3 linked regions of the Nothobranchius furzeri genome follow. The protein of the gene in region 1 interacts with the protein of each later gene in a pairwise test. Links are inferred from orthologs where the notes say so. Each region holds a gene or a part of one and is shown in the gene's direction. Other genes may lie near its edges. The genes, in order: stac3, srek1ip1 and eaf1.

Evidence for each region.
Region 2: the proteins of stac3 (region 1) and srek1ip1 interact in binary tests that used the Homo sapiens proteins (3 or more experiments, as listed by UniProt). The two-hybrid records come from large-scale screens. The link is inferred for Nothobranchius furzeri from reciprocal best matches to the Homo sapiens genes STAC3 and SREK1IP1.
Region 3: the proteins of stac3 (region 1) and eaf1 interact in binary tests that used the Homo sapiens proteins (3 or more experiments, as listed by UniProt). The two-hybrid records come from large-scale screens. The link is inferred for Nothobranchius furzeri from reciprocal best matches to the Homo sapiens genes STAC3 and EAF1.

What each region holds. Positions count from the first base shown.
Region 1 is NC_091755.1:32,733,404-32,739,561, forward strand, and holds the start of stac3 (SH3 and cysteine-rich domain-containing protein 3), read left to right. Parts: upstream 1-2,705; 5' UTR 2,706-2,904; intron 2,905-3,592; 5' UTR 3,593-3,622; coding exon 3,623-3,630; intron 3,631-4,072; coding exon 4,073-4,151; intron 4,152-4,324; coding exon 4,325-4,481; intron 4,482-4,560; coding exon 4,561-4,658; intron 4,659-4,770; coding exon 4,771-4,831; intron 4,832-6,150; coding exon 6,151-6,158. Other genes in the region: mbd6 (methyl-CpG-binding domain protein 5), read right to left, coding at 1-99. UniProt on the Homo sapiens protein: Required for normal excitation-contraction coupling in skeletal muscle and for normal muscle contraction in response to membrane depolarization. Required for normal Ca(2+) release from the sarcplasmic reticulum, which ultimately leads to muscle contraction.
Region 2 is NC_091748.1:63,076,640-63,082,797, reverse strand, and holds srek1ip1 (protein SREK1IP1), read left to right. Parts: upstream 1-2,725; 5' UTR 2,726-2,858; coding exon 2,859-2,871; intron 2,872-3,136; coding exon 3,137-3,184; intron 3,185-3,482; coding exon 3,483-3,641; intron 3,642-4,138; coding exon 4,139-4,208; intron 4,209-4,431; coding exon 4,432-4,666; 3' UTR 4,667-5,225; downstream 5,226-6,158. UniProt on the Homo sapiens protein: Possible splicing regulator involved in the control of cellular survival.
Region 3 is NC_091745.1:66,978,717-66,984,830, reverse strand, and holds the start of eaf1 (ELL-associated factor 1), read left to right. Parts: upstream 1-2,579; 5' UTR 2,580-2,768; coding exon 2,769-2,871; intron 2,872-4,267; coding exon 4,268-4,362; intron 4,363-4,655; coding exon 4,656-4,792; intron 4,793-4,899; coding exon 4,900-5,072; intron 5,073-5,204; coding exon 5,205-5,426; intron 5,427-5,596; coding exon 5,597-5,646; 3' UTR 5,647-6,114. Other genes in the region: tRNA N(3)-methylcytidine methyltransferase METTL6, read right to left, coding at 286-440, 583-724, 919-1,089, 1,342-1,476, 1,627-1,923. UniProt on the Homo sapiens protein: Acts as a transcriptional transactivator of ELL and ELL2 elongation activities.

The sequences.
Region 1 (6,158 bases):
CCCTCCTTCCACTTTCCTGTGCCAGCCGATGGGAACGTTTATTGCTGTGGCGAGGACCCCATCCTTGTCTCCACTGACAGTCTCCCTGCCTCCCATCATTTTGATGCTGCAGGCTGCCAGCACCTAAAGCAGCAAATGGTTAATAAATCTCATCTCACCTTTTTCTTCACTTTTGAATGTTTCATAAATAATGAGAACAGGGGGATGAAATTTAAGAAAAATCTGGCACTGCTGCACAGATTATGTTCATTTTAACCCAAACAGTAAAATTAAATTTTCACTAAATCTGCAACATGAAGTTTGAGAGTATTAAAGTAGACTTAATAATACTTTGCTGTGGAGAATCTGACTTCCACGTGACAAATAAATGTTAAACAAGTCTGATTTATTGTTATTTACTTTGATTTTTAACCTATGATGAAGTCAAATCTTGTCTGCAGAGTGTAAAACAGTGTTTTTCATGTGGTGGGTGTGGCCACTGCTGAAATACAGACTTTGCATGACTGACAGAGAAATATATATTTAACAAAATAAAGCGATAGGAAACAGAAAAACAGCATGATTAAATACCTTGTCATCTTTGGGAAGCCAAGATCTGCTTTGGCTACAGTATCCGTTGTCCAATGTACATGCTGGTGGCTGAGAAGCTCACAGACTTTCGGCAAAAAACCTGACTCCTCAAAATACTTGCAATGTCTTCCGCTGCGAGGAAAGCCTTCAACTTCCTGGATGATTCCAACAGATTTATTAGTTCAGGTCACATCAGAATAGTGGTTTAGATGAAGAGCCTGCAGAGAAAGGTGGATGAGGTGGATTATGTAATCTGGCAGAGGGGGAGCACGGTGAATATGTGCTACAATAAATCTTTCTTCAAACTGATCTCATTCAACCACACTTGGAAAAAGGAGAGATTACATCGGATGCCCTGCTACCTCAGAAAAAGTTCAACTTCAGAGCAAACTGTGGCTTTTTTGAAGTAGGAGGGTGTGTTTGGGTAGGCCTGTAGTTGATTCGCTATAATGTAAACAGTTGCCTCTCCCAAAACAAAGTCAGAAAACAACAAGCAATGGAAAATAGACTTAAATTAAATCCCACGGAGTCTGAAAAACGTCTAAATGCATGCGTTTAACAACATTACGGTATAAATATTGCAGCTAACGTGTAAGCTAACAGCTAAGCTAACAGGCTAAATCCACTTGGTACTCTGTTGTCGTGACAGCTGTCAGGAGCACTAAACACTCCCGATGCAAAACTCTAGTGTCTTAGCTACGGGTACAAGAAACGAGCGTTGCACGACATTGTTTAGCTAAAAACCTTCATGAAACTTATCCACACATTTCACTTATTAACAAATATTTGTTAGCTAACGTCAACATGTTGTGAACAATCTTTCTCTGCGTCAAGCTATGTGTTGACCACCAAGTTTAGAAGTCTTCGCTCTTTTTCGTTCGCTGGAAAATCAAGAGTTAGCTAGTTAGGACTACTAAATTAATACTAAATAAAATACGTAGAAAACGATCAACACTCTAATAACTAAAACGAATCATTACATAATCCAAATCACGAACTGGCACGGCGAGTCAGCACTCAAATGTTAGTCAACGTCTTCCAGTCGGACTTAAAAACAAAGGGGGCAATAACGCTTCATTTTACTACGCCTGGGTTCTTCTGGAGGCTAGCGTTCCCAGCTAGGCTAACTGGAGGGGCTAACTCAGTGATATTTACTTGTTCTAGAGTGTCCCACAAAGACAGAGGGATGTCCCGTTCCCGCTCCACACCTATCCAGCCGTCGCTTTGGTCTTTCTTCTGCTAATCCGCATAGCATTCAATGGTATTCCGACAAACATAACGACCCGTGTAATCCCCAATTCACAGTTACCCTCTGTTTTTTTCTTACAAATTCCGAGAAAAAAATAATGGAGTTTTGTTTTGCGCAGGCGCACTGAGCACGTAAGGAATATTGTACCCAACATGCAACGAGACATTTGTAGTGTTCCAGTCAGACGTCAATCCACAGGGGGCGCTGTTTGGTGGACAGGACATAACAGAATAATATTCCGTAAACAACTAATAAATACACAAACAAATAAATGTATTATATTTGTGTACAACGTTTTAACCTCTACATCAACAAAATACACCTTTGTAAAAAAGTATTCTGAGTTGGAGTTAATACTGGGCTGACAGCTCAAAAATATTTTGTATATAAACAGAGGAAAAACTTTATAGGATTATTTGTTACAAATGAAATAAAACAACGAATAAAGATGCTTGCTAGAGTGGTTGAGTTACATGGCAGTTATTGTTTAAAAATCAATGTTTCTTTTATGTATTTATCCAGCTTTTGCAGCATCTACTAGCATTCAGAACAACTTGAACATATATATAAATAAAATAGTTTTTACAACTTTGAAAGAGATGTAGTCATTTTTGTTGTTTCTCCTTGGTCTCCCAAAAGAATGGAGGGATACAGGCCCATGAGCAGGACAGATACCTTTGTGTGTGTGTGCGTGCGTGCGTGCGTGCGTGCGTGTGTGTGTGTGTGTGTGTGTGTGTGTGTGTGTGTGTATGTGTGTGTGTGTGTGTGTGTGTGTGTGTGTGTGTGTGTGTGTGTGTGTGTGTGTGTGTGTGTGTGTGTGTAGAGAACATATCTGATTTCTCATCGTCACTGGTGCTTAGTTTGAGGTCCTTCAGCTGTTGCAAACTGTCAACGTCACAAAGCAGTGCTCAGCCTGTCATGCTCACAATTACACCCATAGATACACAAACTTACAGCTTTAATAAATATCTGGGTCGCACTCAGCATTCACGCCCAGTGTGGGAATAACCTGAAGGAAACACAGAGGGACCATACAGTACTGGATCCAGAAGTGCTGAAAAGTGAGGGAGCATTTTGGTCAGTTGGTAAGTCAAACTCTGCTTCAATGGCCACATAACACTTCAGAAAAATCTAGCAGGTGAAGGGAAGCATTTTTTTATTTACCTTTTCTGTGTAACCTCTAATAACTTGGTAAGTGATGGTGAAGTTTATGTGTAATTTTTAATTATGTCTCAAGTAGCAAAAATGCCTAATGGAATCGTTTTGTAGGAACGTTGTGTGAATGCTACATCCATTTAGCCCGTTATTTACTCATTTTTCCTGAAATTCTTTTATGCTGTCTGGAATATTTTCCTGACATGCAGCAGTTCCTAAATTTAGTTTTCAGATCAAATTTCAAAAACCAAGAATAGAGCAGGTCAGGATGACAAATGCTCTTTACCACTGTTTGCTACAAGGTATTAGCTCCGAATGTCACACAGAGAGAGACTAAAGACATGTTTTATGTCTCTGCTTGCTTTATAGTTAATAATTTGACCAGATCCTTGTCTGAAATAGTGAATTTCAACTATAGCAACAATTTCCCTTGTCATCCAGGAACGTGTTTGGTGCTTAAAAACAAACAAGTCCTTCAAAATGTAGGCAAATCAGAAAAGAAACATGCAATCCAAAAGATGTGGCCTTGTTTTGCATTTAGGAAAAACGAGCTACTGACAAACTGCAAGTGCATCTTGAGAAAAGACAGACAGTAAAATGTACATGATTTCTTTTAAGGGTGCAGTATACTGATATTTCCAGCACTCCATGGATCAGTGAGTACAGTTCATGTCCATGTGCTGCATGTTTCTAACATCTCTGTGGGTTTCACTAAATAAAATCTGAGCTCTAAATTTACCAGTGCGACTAAAATCAGGTTTGTTTGAGGTGATGAACGGGGAATCTTGTTGAAGCACATCATGGTTCTCCTCAATGTTCCTGGTTTAAGAGTTCACTCATCAAAAAGGTGTGTGTTTGGATTTATATGTAACTGGTCTGGATCCTGGAGCCCTATCACCAGCTGGTTGATGTTTGTGCATGATGGGAAAAGGTGCGATGTAAAAAAAAATGTCCTTCAAACTTTGAGCAGTTTTCACATTAACGTTTGCTGATAAATCTCCTCACATGATCCAGATGTTCCCTCTGCGATACGTTTTTACACCACAGTCATGGCAGGTGGCTTCAGTTGGTCTTCATCTTTCTCTTTGTGCTTCTTAGAGAGGATGACAAAAACTCCGTGGACATCCACGACAATCCTCCAGCCCCTGACAATGTAGTGAGGGAGGAAGGAGACACGGTGAGTGGCAGCACCACGTCAACCACTCGCTATTAGCAGCCGTTCTCAGGCTGATTAAAATAGCCTCCAGCTGGGACGGGACTGCAATATGGTGTTTGTTTATATCTCATGAGTTAATAAATAAGTCCTGATCACCTGTATGGAACTGTTCTCTTCTTCGTCTTTGCTTGCAGGTCTATTTTATTTATGAGGAGGAGGTGGAGGTAGAGGAGAAGGAACCAGAACCTCCTTCCGAGCCCATTGTTCGGATCAATGACAAACCTCACAAGTTTAAGGACCATTACTGCAAGAAACCCAAGTTCTGTGACGTCTGCGCTCGCATGATAGTCTGTACGTGTTTAACCCAGAAAATATCACGAGACATATTTTGAGATTTATGATGATTCGGTTAACTTTGCACATCTCTTAGTGAACAACAAATTTTGTCTGAGGTGTAAAAACTGCAAGACCAACATCCACCATTCGTGTCAGTCCTATGTCGAGTTCCAGAAGTGCTTTGGAAAAATCGTGAGTTTTCTCTCTCTCACACACATTTGAATTTAAATGTCTAAAAAAGCACTACAGGACTAAATGGAAGGTTTTAGTTGAAATTTTTTCTTTTTTTTTCTTTGTCTTGTAGCCACCTGGCTTTAGAAGAGCCTATAGTTCTCCTCTGTACAGCAGCGACATCCCAGATCCAAGTGAGTCCATCAAACCTTCAATCACTCCTAGAATTAGTAATCCTTTATTTATTACTGCTAAATCAGAGTAAAATAATTAAATTTTACGGTGAATTCTTTTAAGCAGATGTGTAAAATTAGTAGGGAGGTCGGAAATATCGACATCAACATCATATCGGCTGATGTTTGTTTTTTATCTGTGTATCGGTCCAATAAGTAAAACTTGGCTGATACTTTCTTCCATCTAGTTGCTATTGTTGTATCTTGGAGAGAGATGGTCATGCAGTGAATTTTTAATCATGTCAATCAGTCAATCAATCAATCATTGAGAGCAATCTACAATTTATAATGGTTAGAAGTGCCCAATGTTGAAAAATCTTCCTTACAAAGGTGTAATTATATTTTAGGGATGTCCGTTACTAACAGCTAATGTTGGCATTTAAGGTGCATTATGTAGAAATGAAGTAAATATGACAATCTGTGGTAAAATCTGGTTGCTGCAATCACTTTAAACAACTCTGGAGCTTTTTGCCGGCCGTAGTCAAATTACAACTATCGGCGCTGCAGTATTAGCTCGCAGGAGACACAACAACCCCACACTTGTCATGTTCTGCGGGTGGTGGGTTTCAGGAGGCAGATGAGCAGGCAACGGATGAAAAAATTAAAAGATGTTTAATCGTAGACTGGGAGCAACAGGACGAACGAACATGCACAAACGACAATGAACCGACAAAGACAGCAACAAGGAGGGAGGTATAAATACACAAGGGAATCAGGAACACATGGGCAGAGTAATGAGGGACAGGTGAGAACAATAAGGCTAATCAGGGCAGGAGAGACACAGTCAGGGAGGCCGGGGCGGATCATGACAACACTCACTGGTAGTAAACACTAGTTACGTCCATCTTTCCTTTGTTTTGAAATGAGATGAACTGACAATCCTCACAGCCAGCTGGATATGAAATGTGTTTAAATATAACCTTCCTTCTAAAATGACCAACACTTTTTGGATTTTCTCACTGTAGATTTTTCACTATATTTTTACATAGTGCACCTTTAAAATGTAATATCAGAAATAATGAGTTGATTTTCACTCTTTTAATGACACAACTTTTACATGCCATGTACATATTAAACATCAAATTCTTCAGCATGGTCTAATAATAGCCATTTAATATTAGCCCATTTTTTGTATCAGTGCATCCCTAAAAATTTGAGATAAAAAAATCTAATGTTTGTAATGCCTGGACTATAGCATTTTCTACAGATTATTCATTAAATAAAGCTTTATAATTGAAAGTGCTGATATTTTCTGGCCAAAATTTTCCATCCGACACCAGACAACCCA
Region 2 (6,158 bases), on another chromosome or scaffold:
TCCCCAGACTCTGCTTCCTCACTGGAGGACGTGCTGATGGGATTGAGGAGGACTTTGAAGTATTCCGCCCACCAATCCACAACATCCCGAGTTGAGGTCAGCTGCACACTGTCCCCAGTATGAACAGGGTCGGTAGCACACTGCTTTCCCCTCCTGAGGCACCGGATGGTATACCAGAATCTCCTCAAAGCCGAACGGAAGTCTTGCTCCATGGTCTCACCAAACTCCTCCCACGCCTGGGTTTTTGCCTCTGTGACCACGCGGGCTGCATTCTGCTTGACCTGTCGTATCCATCAGCTGCCTCTAGAGTCCCACCGGCCAAAAGAACCTGATAGGAGTCTTTCTTCAGCTTGACAGCATCCCTAACCGCCAGTGTCCACCAGCGTGTTCAGGGGTTGCCTCCACGACAGGCGCTGACGACCCTGCAGCCACAGCTCTGGTCAGCCACCTCATCAATGGAAGTATGGAACATGGCTCCCTCTGACTCAATGTCCCCTGCTTCCCTCAGGACGTGTTCGAAATTCTGTCTGAGCCAACTGACCAGCAGGTAGTGGTCAATTGACAACTCCACCCCTCTCTTCTCCTGAGGGTCCAAAACATGCGACCGCAGATCAGATGAAACAACAACAAAGTTGATCATCGAACTGCGGCCTAAGGTATCCTGGTTCCAAGAGCACATGCGGACACCTTTATGCTTGAACATGTTGTTCATTATGGACAATCATGACAGAAGTTCAGTAACAAAACACCACTCAAATTCAGATCAGGGGGGCGTTCCTCCCAACTACACCTCTCCAGGTCTCACTGTCATTTCTCACGTGAGCGTTAAAGTCCCCCAGCAGAACGGGGTAGTCACTGGAAGGAGCGCTCTCCAGCACCCCCTCCAATGACCCCACAAAGTGTGGGTAGTCTGAATTGTAGTTTGTTGCATAAGCACAAACCACAGTCAGGACCCTTCTCGAGGAAACTGGTTCCAGAGCCAAAGCCATGTGTTGAGGTGAGTCCAACAATATCTCGCATCTCAACCATACACAACAACTCCAGCTCTTTCCGTACCCGAGAGGTGACATTGCACGTACCGAGAGCAAGCTTTTGTAGCCGAGGTCCCTGCCTTTGTCTACCACCCGTCACACAACCTGACCCCTTTGGCCCCTCCCACGAGTGGTGAGCTCATGGAGAGGATACCCACATTTCCTCTTCGGGCTGTGCCCGGCTGGGCTTCATGGGCGAAAGCCCAGCCACCAGGTGCTCACCAACGTGCCCCACCTCAGGCCTGGCTCCAGAGGGGAGCCCTGTGGTGTGCCCATCTGAGGAAGGGAACCTAGTTTCCATTTGTGTTTTTCCTCATAAAGGGTCTATGGGCCACACTTTATCTGATGGTGGTTTACTTCCTACATCTTCAACCAGGCTGTGGGACTCTTTTACAACGTTCTTGCTAATTCGACATTTGTTTTTCCAGCAATGGGCTGTCTCACATAGAAAAGAAGTCTGTTTGAATTTGCTTTGTTCTCTCACCTGCAGACGTAAACCAACAGTGATGCAGATAAGTTTATTTTTTCCAGTTTTCTATTTTGAATGCAGATGTTACAGGAATGTCAAAATATTATTTAGAAAACATTTGATCTTGCCAAATGTTTTCAGGGACATCAGCTTTTATGGGGAATCTTCTGATTACTTTATCATTTCCTTTTTTACTAAGTTAATTCTAGATTTACTTCTGGCAGTTTGGTGTGTGTGTGTGCGTGTGTGTGTGTGTGTGTGTGTGTGTGTGTGTGTGTGTGTGTGTGTGTGTGTGTGTGTGTGTGTGTGTGTGTGTGTGTGTGTGTGTGTGTGTGTGTGTCACAGCCACAGACCTAATGATGACAGCACGTCTGGGGGCCCAACATCTGTCAGCATTTTCCATCTTCAAGCCTGGCTGCTGTCAATTAACCCCTGGCAAATAAAACCACACCAGACTTTGCTGGTAAATCAATCAGGAAAAGTGCAAACATTGCTAAATAACGAGTTTTTGTTGATTACAGAGATATCATTTATGAAAACAAAGTATTTTTAATTAAAACTTGAAATATGAACTAGCTAAACATTTGGAGGTACATGTTTCGATTTATGAATTTCTGTCACTGGCTGCTGCACAAACTACCTGAATCCTTTTTCGTTTGCTGATTATCCTAATGCTTTTGTTTGTTTGTTTTTCTGCAATGTGTAAACTGTTTTATTTATTGTTGCTCTGCAAGGACATTCCTAGATGTAAATCTCAACGACCCTTTCAGTTTAAAAAACTTTAATTAAATTTAAAAAGTGGTCAAAACTACTGTCCATGTGTTTAAACCTTGTTGATGTTGAAGTACCACCACAGACCCAATGATGACAACATCCAACTGTTTCCTTTAAATATATCCAGTGTTCATTGTAATGCTTATTTTTTCTTCTTGAATGAACGTCGTTTTGATCTTTGCCTTATTGGCTAGCTAGGTCTCCCTTAATAAAGATTTTTTAACCTCCATGGGCTTTCCCTGGTTAAATAAAATAAAATAAAATAAAATAAAATAAAATAAAATAAATAAATAAATAAATAATACTAGTAACTGTAAGGAACCATAAGATTTATTTTATTTATTTATATTTTTTGGAGACGATCTTTTTTTTTTGTAGGTCTTTGTTTTTAGCACATGTCCAGCAGGTGGCGACATTGAGCCACTGATTTTGTTTTCTAAACAGGAAATTAGAAGAAGAGAGGGAGGAAGCAGTAGTTTCAGGTGCAAATGTTTCCGGTCGACGGTATTGTTCTTGTAGACTTGCATTCGCTCTGAAATATATATTTTTTAAAACAAATTTGTAGTTTTATCACCAAAAGCACAATGGCGGCACCAGGTAGGGGTTCTGTTTGAGTGTTTTTAGGCTAATTTTTTGATCATTTAGCGTAGATAAGATAAGTAAAGTGGAGCTCATCTTTACAACAGTTAAACCTCCAACAAACACGGAGACTACTCCTGGCATTTTCGCACAAATCCTGGATATATTATAACTTAGCTAAATATCGTTAAACAATTTCTGTGTTGAAAAAGAAATAATGCAGTCATAAAGCGCTTTCCCGCGTGAATCTTCGTGATATTTAACCTCTTGTATCACCTGACAGCTGCCAACAAAGACAACATCAGAGCTGGCTGTAAGAAATGTGGCTATCGTAAGTAACTTTATCTAATAGATTACTTATTAGTACAAATGTATGCATTCGATTTATTTTTCAAGTTACATTTGAAAAGTGAATTCTTTGAATCTTAAATGCTTTTGGAGACAGATAGAGGTACTTTGTTTAAAATGAGCCAAAAACAAGTTATATGATTTAAAATATGCTATCAGTAATGAAGAACTGTGTAAATAATTAGATTTAATGTTTTCACTGACGTTTTTCCATCTGAACAAATGTTCTTTTCCTTAATTTAGTGTTTCAATTGTGATCTCTTTTTGTGTTCGTTTCTCAGCGGGACATTTGACGTTTGAGTGCCGAAACTTCGTCCGGGTCGACCCGCAGAAAGACATTGTTCTGGATGTGAGCAGCACCAGCAGCGAGGAGAGTGAAGATGACGGACCAGTTTCTCAGCACACAGAGAAACTGGGACGGAGTGGTCAGCATCACAAAGGTCAGATGGCTTAAAATTTGCTTAAATCAATAATATTTTGATTAAAATAAAGCAAAGAAAGTGCAGACTACCATCCATCTATCTATTTTCCTCCGCTTATCCGGGTTCGGGCCATGGGGGCAGCAGCTTAAGCAGAGAGGGCCAGGCTTCCCTTTCCCGAGCCACTTGGTCCAGCTTCTCTGGGGGAATCCCAAGGCGTTCCCTGTCCTACTGAGAAACATAGTGCCTCCAGCTTGTCCTTGGTCTTCCTTTAGGTCTACTCCCAGTTTGACGTGTCTGGAAAACCTCACCAGGGAGGCATCCTAACCAGATCCTCTCAATGTGGAGGCAGACCGTCACCGCTTACTTTACATAAGAAACTAAAAAAAATCAAACAAGAGACTTTCAAATGCTAATCAAACTTTCTGTTCTTCTATGATTCAGGTCCTGTTCTGCTTCTACTGTGACTTGCTTTGATTCAATGTCGACTTTTCCTTTCATTATTTTCAATGTTTTAGATTCCAATGATGATGACGATAGAAAAAAGAAGCGGAAACAGAAGAACAAAGACAGAAAGTCAAGAAAAAGGTCATTTATCTTGTGTTTATATTAAGATACGTGTTTTTAATGCTCCTATATTCTCAATTACTGTGTTGAAAAAAGCATGTAAGTTGTTGGAAAATATTTTTCATTCCACTAGTTAAAGATAGACTAATAATGTATTATTTTAGATGTTTTTATAGTTGATACTTAAAGATTTGAAGTGTTTTCTTGGTTTTACCAAAGCCAGTAACTATTATTTAAAATTTAGATCTTACTCGTCGTCGAGTGATGGGGGCACAAAAAAAAAGAAGAAGCGAAGCAGATCAAGCTCATCGTCGGATGAAGAGGAGAGAAGAAAGAAAAAGAAACTAAGCCGCAAGAAGAAGAGTAAAAAGAACAAAAAAGAGCACGGGAAGCATCACAAAATGAAAGAGAAGAAGAGGAAACACAAATCATCCTCATCATCCTCTTCCACCTCTGGTGAATCATCAGACAGTGACTGAACAGTGTCGTTTCTGGACGACGTGTTTATTCAGAAGTGTAGATGGTCTGCGTTTTGACACTTTATAAATGCAGCAAATCAAATAGTTTCATCTGAGCTTTCCTTTCTGAGTGTTAAAGTAAATTTTGTCTGCTACAGATTAATGGCAACAATATGACGTAAGGGTTAAAATGACTGCTGATTTCCTCTGAGACTGTCAGGAACCCATCTTTATACAAGGATTTAAAATATTAAACACTTCATACTGCAGGTTAATAAGTTCCTATTTCTGTTATTTTTATGTATTTTAGTCAAAAAGGATCAATTTAAAAGGTCAAAGTGCTTTTAAACATGAGGGCAGTACGGTGGTTCAGTTGGTAGTGCTGTTGCTTTGCAGCGGGAAGGTCACAGGTTCAAATCCTGACCTTTCTTTGTGTAGGTTGCATGTGTGAGGTTTCTGCAAAAATGCATAAACAGTCAGTGAAATGCATCATCTTTGCTGTAATTACTGCAGGTTTGTCTTAGTTTTCTGTTGATCACTGACCCTTTACTGGGAATAAAACATGTTTGTTTCAGTTTAATCTGTCACTGTTTTCCCTTTGTAATCTAATCTGACCAAATTTAATAAACCACCAATCCTGATTGACAAAAAAAAAAAAAAAAACGGACTAAATATGGTTCATATGCAGCCACATGGCCACTAGAGGGAAGCATCACACCTCATATTTCTATCTGGTAAACTGCTGTTTAACAACATCAGCACTTAAAAGAGAAGTTTCAGCTTCATGAAAGGTTTGGAGTTATTCACTAGTGCTAAAGATGCTCAAAAGTCCCTAAAAGAAGTGCATTCAGATCCTTTCACAATAAGGCTGTATTAAGTAAGACATCAACCTCAAATCAAATTTAAACCTTTAAAGAAAATTATATTTAAAAAAAAAGGTGTGGACATGATGACCTTTTCCTTATGTGCTAGTATGAACCAACCATCAGGCTACCCAGTAGTCATGTTGGACAAAAGTCCTGTTCATGTGCACTGGAAACGAGTTACGGAGGTGATGATGACATTTTATGTTTAATTCGCCACAACATCATGATTAGGCACATTTCTGAGCAACAACACTGCTTGGCAGAGGCACCTGTGTAAATCCTCATCACAGCAAAGTGTTTGGAAGGAGCGATGAAGACAGAGTTTTGTGTATTTAATGAACCATTTAGTTGTTATGCATCGATATTAGAGCGATGACATCTAATGAGCCCAAAACGACAAACTGCTATTTCCACCCTGAGGCTGAACTACCCCCCTCTTGTGCAGAGTTTTAGAAGGCAGGGAAAAAATGGAGGCTTTATGCTGGCTGATGGGTTGGTGCTAGTGATACACCCTTATGAAATTGTTGGGCAGATTCCGATATTACAGTTTTTCTCAATTGCTAAAACACTAAAATCCATTGACTGAAGAACGTTCTCTGTTGCTTGAACTCATTAAGCTAACTGTTGAGCCTGTTGTCAAAACCTTA
Region 3 (6,114 bases), on another chromosome or scaffold:
CCTGCCATGTCCACAACCCCCACTGTCCACCACGTGCCCCTGAAAAATAAATGCTTCCCCTCAACTCAACATCAGAGCTGAATAAGCTCAGAATTTATTTACAGAGTAAATGTTACACAGCTTATAAATATTTTGTAAGAAAAGTGAACACTTTCTTTTAAAATGTCCCCAAACCCCTTGTGGTCCTATGATGGCTTCCCATCATACAGAACTTGTACATTTTTCCATCCAGTCCAAACCTGACATGTCAGTCTTCCCTTAGAGATTTGTGAGTTAACAGTGACATCAGGAGCTCTGTGGATGTGCAGGTCTGATGAATTTGCTCTGAAGGAAAACCCTCGGAACACACAGTCCTTCCTTCTTGTTTACCGTCTCTCTCAGAACGTACTCGTTGGACACAAGGTCAAAGCCCGCCTCCAGAAACAGCTTAGCCAGAAACTCTGAAAAGTTGAAAACAGCAAGATTCCAGGAGGAGGAAAAAAAAAACAAATTCATATATAATCAATTCAATAATTTTAAATGTGCAACATGTCCCCTCTTTCACTTGAGACTGAGTTGACTGAACAGAAATACTCTGCTGACCTTTGGAGAAGAAGTAGGACCTTGTTCCATCCTGGCGAACGTAGAAGTTCTCCCCAAGCTTGTTTCCAGATTTAAACCGGAGCATGGCGTGGTCGTACATGCCATAGTCCCTGAACAAGACAACACCACCGGGCTTCAGCACCTTAAAGCCACATGTAGATTGTTACATCGCTGAATGCCAGTTTTGTGCAGGTTTGCATAAAAAGTGATTTGTACTCAAAAAAATAGACTGCAGTAACCATGTTTGACCACAGGATGTCACTCTTACTTACTGCACCTTTAAGTTCCACCTGAATTGAGTGAATTGTGCGTGGTGGTCTCAGCTCTTAACTCTACCTTGCTGATGTTCTCCAAAACCAGCTTCATCTTGTCGGGATGGATGGCCGACAGGACAAAGATGAGCGTGACAACATCGACGCTGCCTTCTGGGACATTTTCCATCAGATCATCTCTTGTTAAGTCACACTGGAAAGCACAACAGCGCTCAGTGCAGTAAAGAGGGTTTTCCTGATTAATAAAAACAAATAACAAAACAAATGTTTACATCTTTAAATGCTGTTTTTTTCCCATTTGGTTACTCTTAGCCCTTGAAATCTCCTGTTAAGGCAGCTGAACCGGGTTTTACCACAAATGGCATCAAAGGCAGCTACACTGCAGCAAAGCTTTTTTTCATTTTTATTTTTAACTTCTAGAGCACTAAGATTAACTAGACGTGCTAGAAAAGGTGGATTTCCACAAGTACACAGTTAAGCACCTTACTTTGACAAAATCAACTGCCCGAGGAGAAAAGTCACAGGCATAAACAAAGATGTTGAGGTCATCCTCCAGAAGGGGGAAGATGCAGTTCCCAACCCCGCATCCAGCTTCCAGCAGAATCAGTTTCTGGGACTCGAACTGCAAAGAGACAGACCACGTGACCCAAAATCATCACTTTGTTGTCCGTTTGGCCTCAAATCACTGTGAAACGTTGATATTCTTTACATAAACTAAGTTCATTCTACACTACATATGCTAAGTTTAATCAAACACCCCTTATCCGCTCACCTCCCGACAGGCTTTAAGCTCCTCAAACTCTCTGGTGGTCCAGTGTCTGTCTTTAAAGAAATTCGTGGTGTTTCTTTTATAAAACAAGTCCCAATTTTTCTGCGCTTCTTTCTCCAGCTTAATTTGTTTGAAATCAGATACCAGCGTCCGCTCACTGCTCAGTCTGTCCCGTTCCTCTGGAGTTAAATCTCTGACAGAGCAAAGTTTTGTTTCTCGTCCCCGTGACTCCACCTTTGTTTCGGGTTCCACTTCTTCAATGTCTTCAACTTTGCACTTTTCATTTGTCATTAACGCCATTGTTGTGTTAGATTGCCGTTCTCTCTGATAGTTTGTTTATAAAATAAAGCTTTATATAAGCTTCAATAGGAAGAAAAAGGAGGTAATATTTTTCCACACTTGGCATCCATCTTGTGCAGCATCGATGACACCGGTACCGGTTGGTGTTATTAAAAAAAATACCACGGTGGTCAACGCTTTAAAACACAAAATTTATACAAAATATAATATAAATTTTGACTGTACAATTTTATTGTTTAAATAAGTTACAAATATTTTTAACAGCTCTGAAATCACTTACACCCAGTCTGGTTTTCCGTCGGTGGTATTTGATGCTCGGACCAAAGGCAGTGTTACGCCGAGATATGTTTCCTCACAACAACAGTTTCTCCTCCTATTTTAAGCGAGTTTCCCCTTTAACTTTGTTGTTTAAACCAATTATCTGATAATAAAATAACTAAACTGAAAACTTTTGATAGTTTAATTAAAACATTAGTCATCACAGCATGGCAAAAACGTACGGAAAATATTACTTTTTAAAATTATTTAATCTGTGTTCGGTAAAAATAAATTCATACTTAAGTCAAATACTAATAACTGAATAATTGTTCAATGAGGTAAACATATTTATTTTCCAAGAATTCAGAACGGAAAACCCGCACACTGATATACGAGTAAACCGTTTTTCACTTAACACCGAAAAAGCTGCAGTCGCGTGACGTAAGTGTTGTTTTGCTAAAGGTTAGCATCTGCAAGCTAACTTTATCTTTATTTAGATTATCATCTCCGGTAGTTGCTGGATATAGCTCTGTTTTTCGGTTGTAACACAAATGTAAAATTTAATCCGGTTTCAACCAGACGAAGTCATGAACGGAAACACAAATCCACTGCTGGACAAAGAGGAACATGTTCTGAAGCTCGGAGAGAGCTTCGAGAAAAGGCCAAAATCATCTTTTCACACCATCAGATGTGAGTGTGAAAGAGACCACTTTGTGTTTCTAAAAGCTTTTAGTAAAGTCAGCTGTTGGTTGGAAGTAATTAGCTCACAGTGATACAGCTATTACATTCATTACGGTTACAGAAGTACACAATAAATGAGAAAATTTGATTTACATGTATGAACTGCAAAACACCGAACTGAAAGAAATTGCTGAACAGAAATGTGTTTATTATGTAAAAAATAGAAAGTTAAATTGTGGGGTTTAATGTTTTTTTTTTAAGTCCTTGGTTATTATCAATTATTAACTGATCATCATTCAACTTTTACTTAATTTTGCTTTGTTTATTTAAACATTTCCTAAGCCAAGTAGACAGTGTGACCAATAATTAATAAATGCACATTTCACCCAAATACCAGCAGCACATTATTTAAATATTTCCCGGTTTGTAAATTAATGTCATATTAGCAGAGTCAAGCAAAGTTATAATTTAAAACATATAAGGGTGATTAGCTAAGTTTGAATCTCTTTCATTTTTAGAAACTAAATAATTAATAATAATAAGGGATGCACCAATATGAATTTTTTGGGCCGGTACCGAGATTAGTATCACTGTTATGGCCGATAACCAATATTGGCCAATACCGTTTTATGCATCTGAAATCAGCAGATTTTGAATAGACTGAAATTATGCAAGTTGAATTTTGGAATGTTTTGCTTTATTTCTATGAAGTTGAATTTGCATTATGTTATACACACACACACACACACACACACACACACACACACACGTACGCTTCTGGTAAATGGTAAATGGCCTGTATTTGATATAGCGCCGTCTAGAGTCCTGGAACCCCCCAAGGTGCTTTACAACACAACCAGTCATTCACCCATTCACACACACATTCACACACTGGTGGGGATGAGCTACGATGTAGCCACAGCTGCTCTGGGGCGCACTGACAGAGGCGAGGCTGCTGAGCACTGGCGCCACCGGTCCTTCCGACCACCACCAGCAGATAACATGGGTCTTGCCCAAGGACACAACGACAGCAACAGACTGAGCGGGGCTCGAACCTGCAACCTTCCGATTACAGGGCGAGCACTTAACTCCTGTGCCACCGTCGCCAGATGATTACCATCACGGTCACATGTCTCAACAATTACACATCATAACTGCCCCTTACCCTCTGAAACATACACAAACGGAAATAAGATGGAAAAAATATCAGTTCTTAAAATCGGCCCAGTTTTAATTGTCGGACTGGTATGTTAAAAATGTACTAACATCGGCCAATACTCGATATTGATGCAGATATATCATACATCTCTAATAATTATATAATTTACTTCTTTTTCTATTTATTTAAGTTTTTCTAAGCAGTGAAAGGACTTGATTCATGCCTAATTTATTTATTTATTCTTAGATGACTTCAAACCAGCATCGATCGACACGAGCTGTGAGGGAGAGCTACAAGTTGGGAAAGGAGATGAAGTTACCATAACACTACCTCATATTCCAGTAAGGTTGCAGAGACGTAAACAACAAAGCACCATTCTCACATTTGTGTCAGCTGGCTCACAGTTATGGTTATTCAACATTATTAATGTTATTAAGTGTCAATCAAGTGCTTTCCCTCTGCTAACAAAGTCAGATAGCAGCTTAGGTTGAGTAATCATAGTTGATTATGTTTAAATGTAGTTTCAGTTTCATCTAGTTACATCAGGAACCAATAAAATAAACAAGTAAAAGCCCCTTTGTATGATTTTATTAAGAAAAATCAAAGGATCAAGTAAAGTTACATACTCTTCCAGGGCTCCACGCCTCCAATGACGGTATTTAAAGGAAACAAGCGGTTGTATCAGAAGGATTGTGTGCTCATCATTAACCACGACACGGGGGAATTTGTCCTGGAGAAGCTCAGCAGCAGCATCCAGGTCAAGAAAACAAGGTGGGAGAATTGTATATTACTTTTTCACACTTGATAAATCATTCATTCTAAAGTGGGGAGCAGAAAGGAGCAACAGTTGGTGAGTCTGCCGTGTTTATTTTTTATAGGGCGGAGGGCAGCAGTAAGATCCAGGCCCGAATCGAGCAGCAGTCCGTCCGTTCCTCCCAGACAAGCTCTCAGTTCCGAGCCCCGACCAAACCAGGGGCCGGGAACAAAACCTCACCCTCCCACACGAAGGACAACCCGTCCCCAGAGCCTCAGCTGGATGACATCAAACGAGGTGAGAAGGTTCTGTCACAAGATGGAACTGGTGTGTCTCAAACTGATTCTAGCTAAAATATCAGCTGGATATTGTAACTGGTGTGAAATGAACCCAGAACCAATAATGTCTCTGACCTGCTGCCGCTGGCAGAGCTGCGGGCGGAGGTGGAGGTGATCGAGCAGATGAGCAGCAGCGGCAGCAGCTCGTCCGATTCAGCCAGCGGCTCGGGGAGCGGCGACGACAGCAGCAGTAGCGATGGTGAGCACGACGCCCCCCCGCAACCGCTCAGCCAGACCTCCCCCAGCTGCACCCCCATCACCAACGGCGGAGGAGACCGGCAGCAGGGCAACAACCAGCTCATGAACACACTCCGTGAGTAGCTCTGCGTAAACGCTGATTCTCCTGTTTCTGTTTTTAAATCTCTGCATTTATCAGTTAGTGCCTTCACATTTTTATGTGTTATTACAGGATTTCCTCAGATGATACATTCCAGACGAGTTAGTTTACTCACTTAGATTATTACTTTTCTTTTTCCTCCACAGGAAGCGATCTTCAGCTCAGCGAGTCGGGCAGCGATAGTGATGACGACTGAAGTCGCTCTCCTCCTCCACACTCCTCCTCCTCCTCGCTTCCTGGTTCTTGCGTTCACTTGCTGTGATTTTTGACCTCAGCTTTAAGTTTCTGGTTTGACTGTATTTTTTTAACATTTTATTTTATTATAGCCACCCAGAAACCTTAGGATAGCATTTTATTAGATGTGCATTTTGTTTTGTATAGGAAAAAACAGAGTTTTACTTTAGGATGTAGAAGATTATAAAGAGTGTTCAGACATATTTTAAGTACTTATAAAAAACACTAGTTTTATCTGCATAATTGATCTATTTTTCTCCTTTTTTATGATGAGGCTAGTATGAAAAAGCTTTTTCCCTGTAGTGGAAGTCTTCTCTCCATGCGTATTAGTGTTTTATTAGTTGGATGAAAAAACAGCAAAAAAACAGAAAAATCAGCAAAACTCTGCAACAAGTAACAATTTTAAAAAATGCACTTTTTTCCTCCCAAG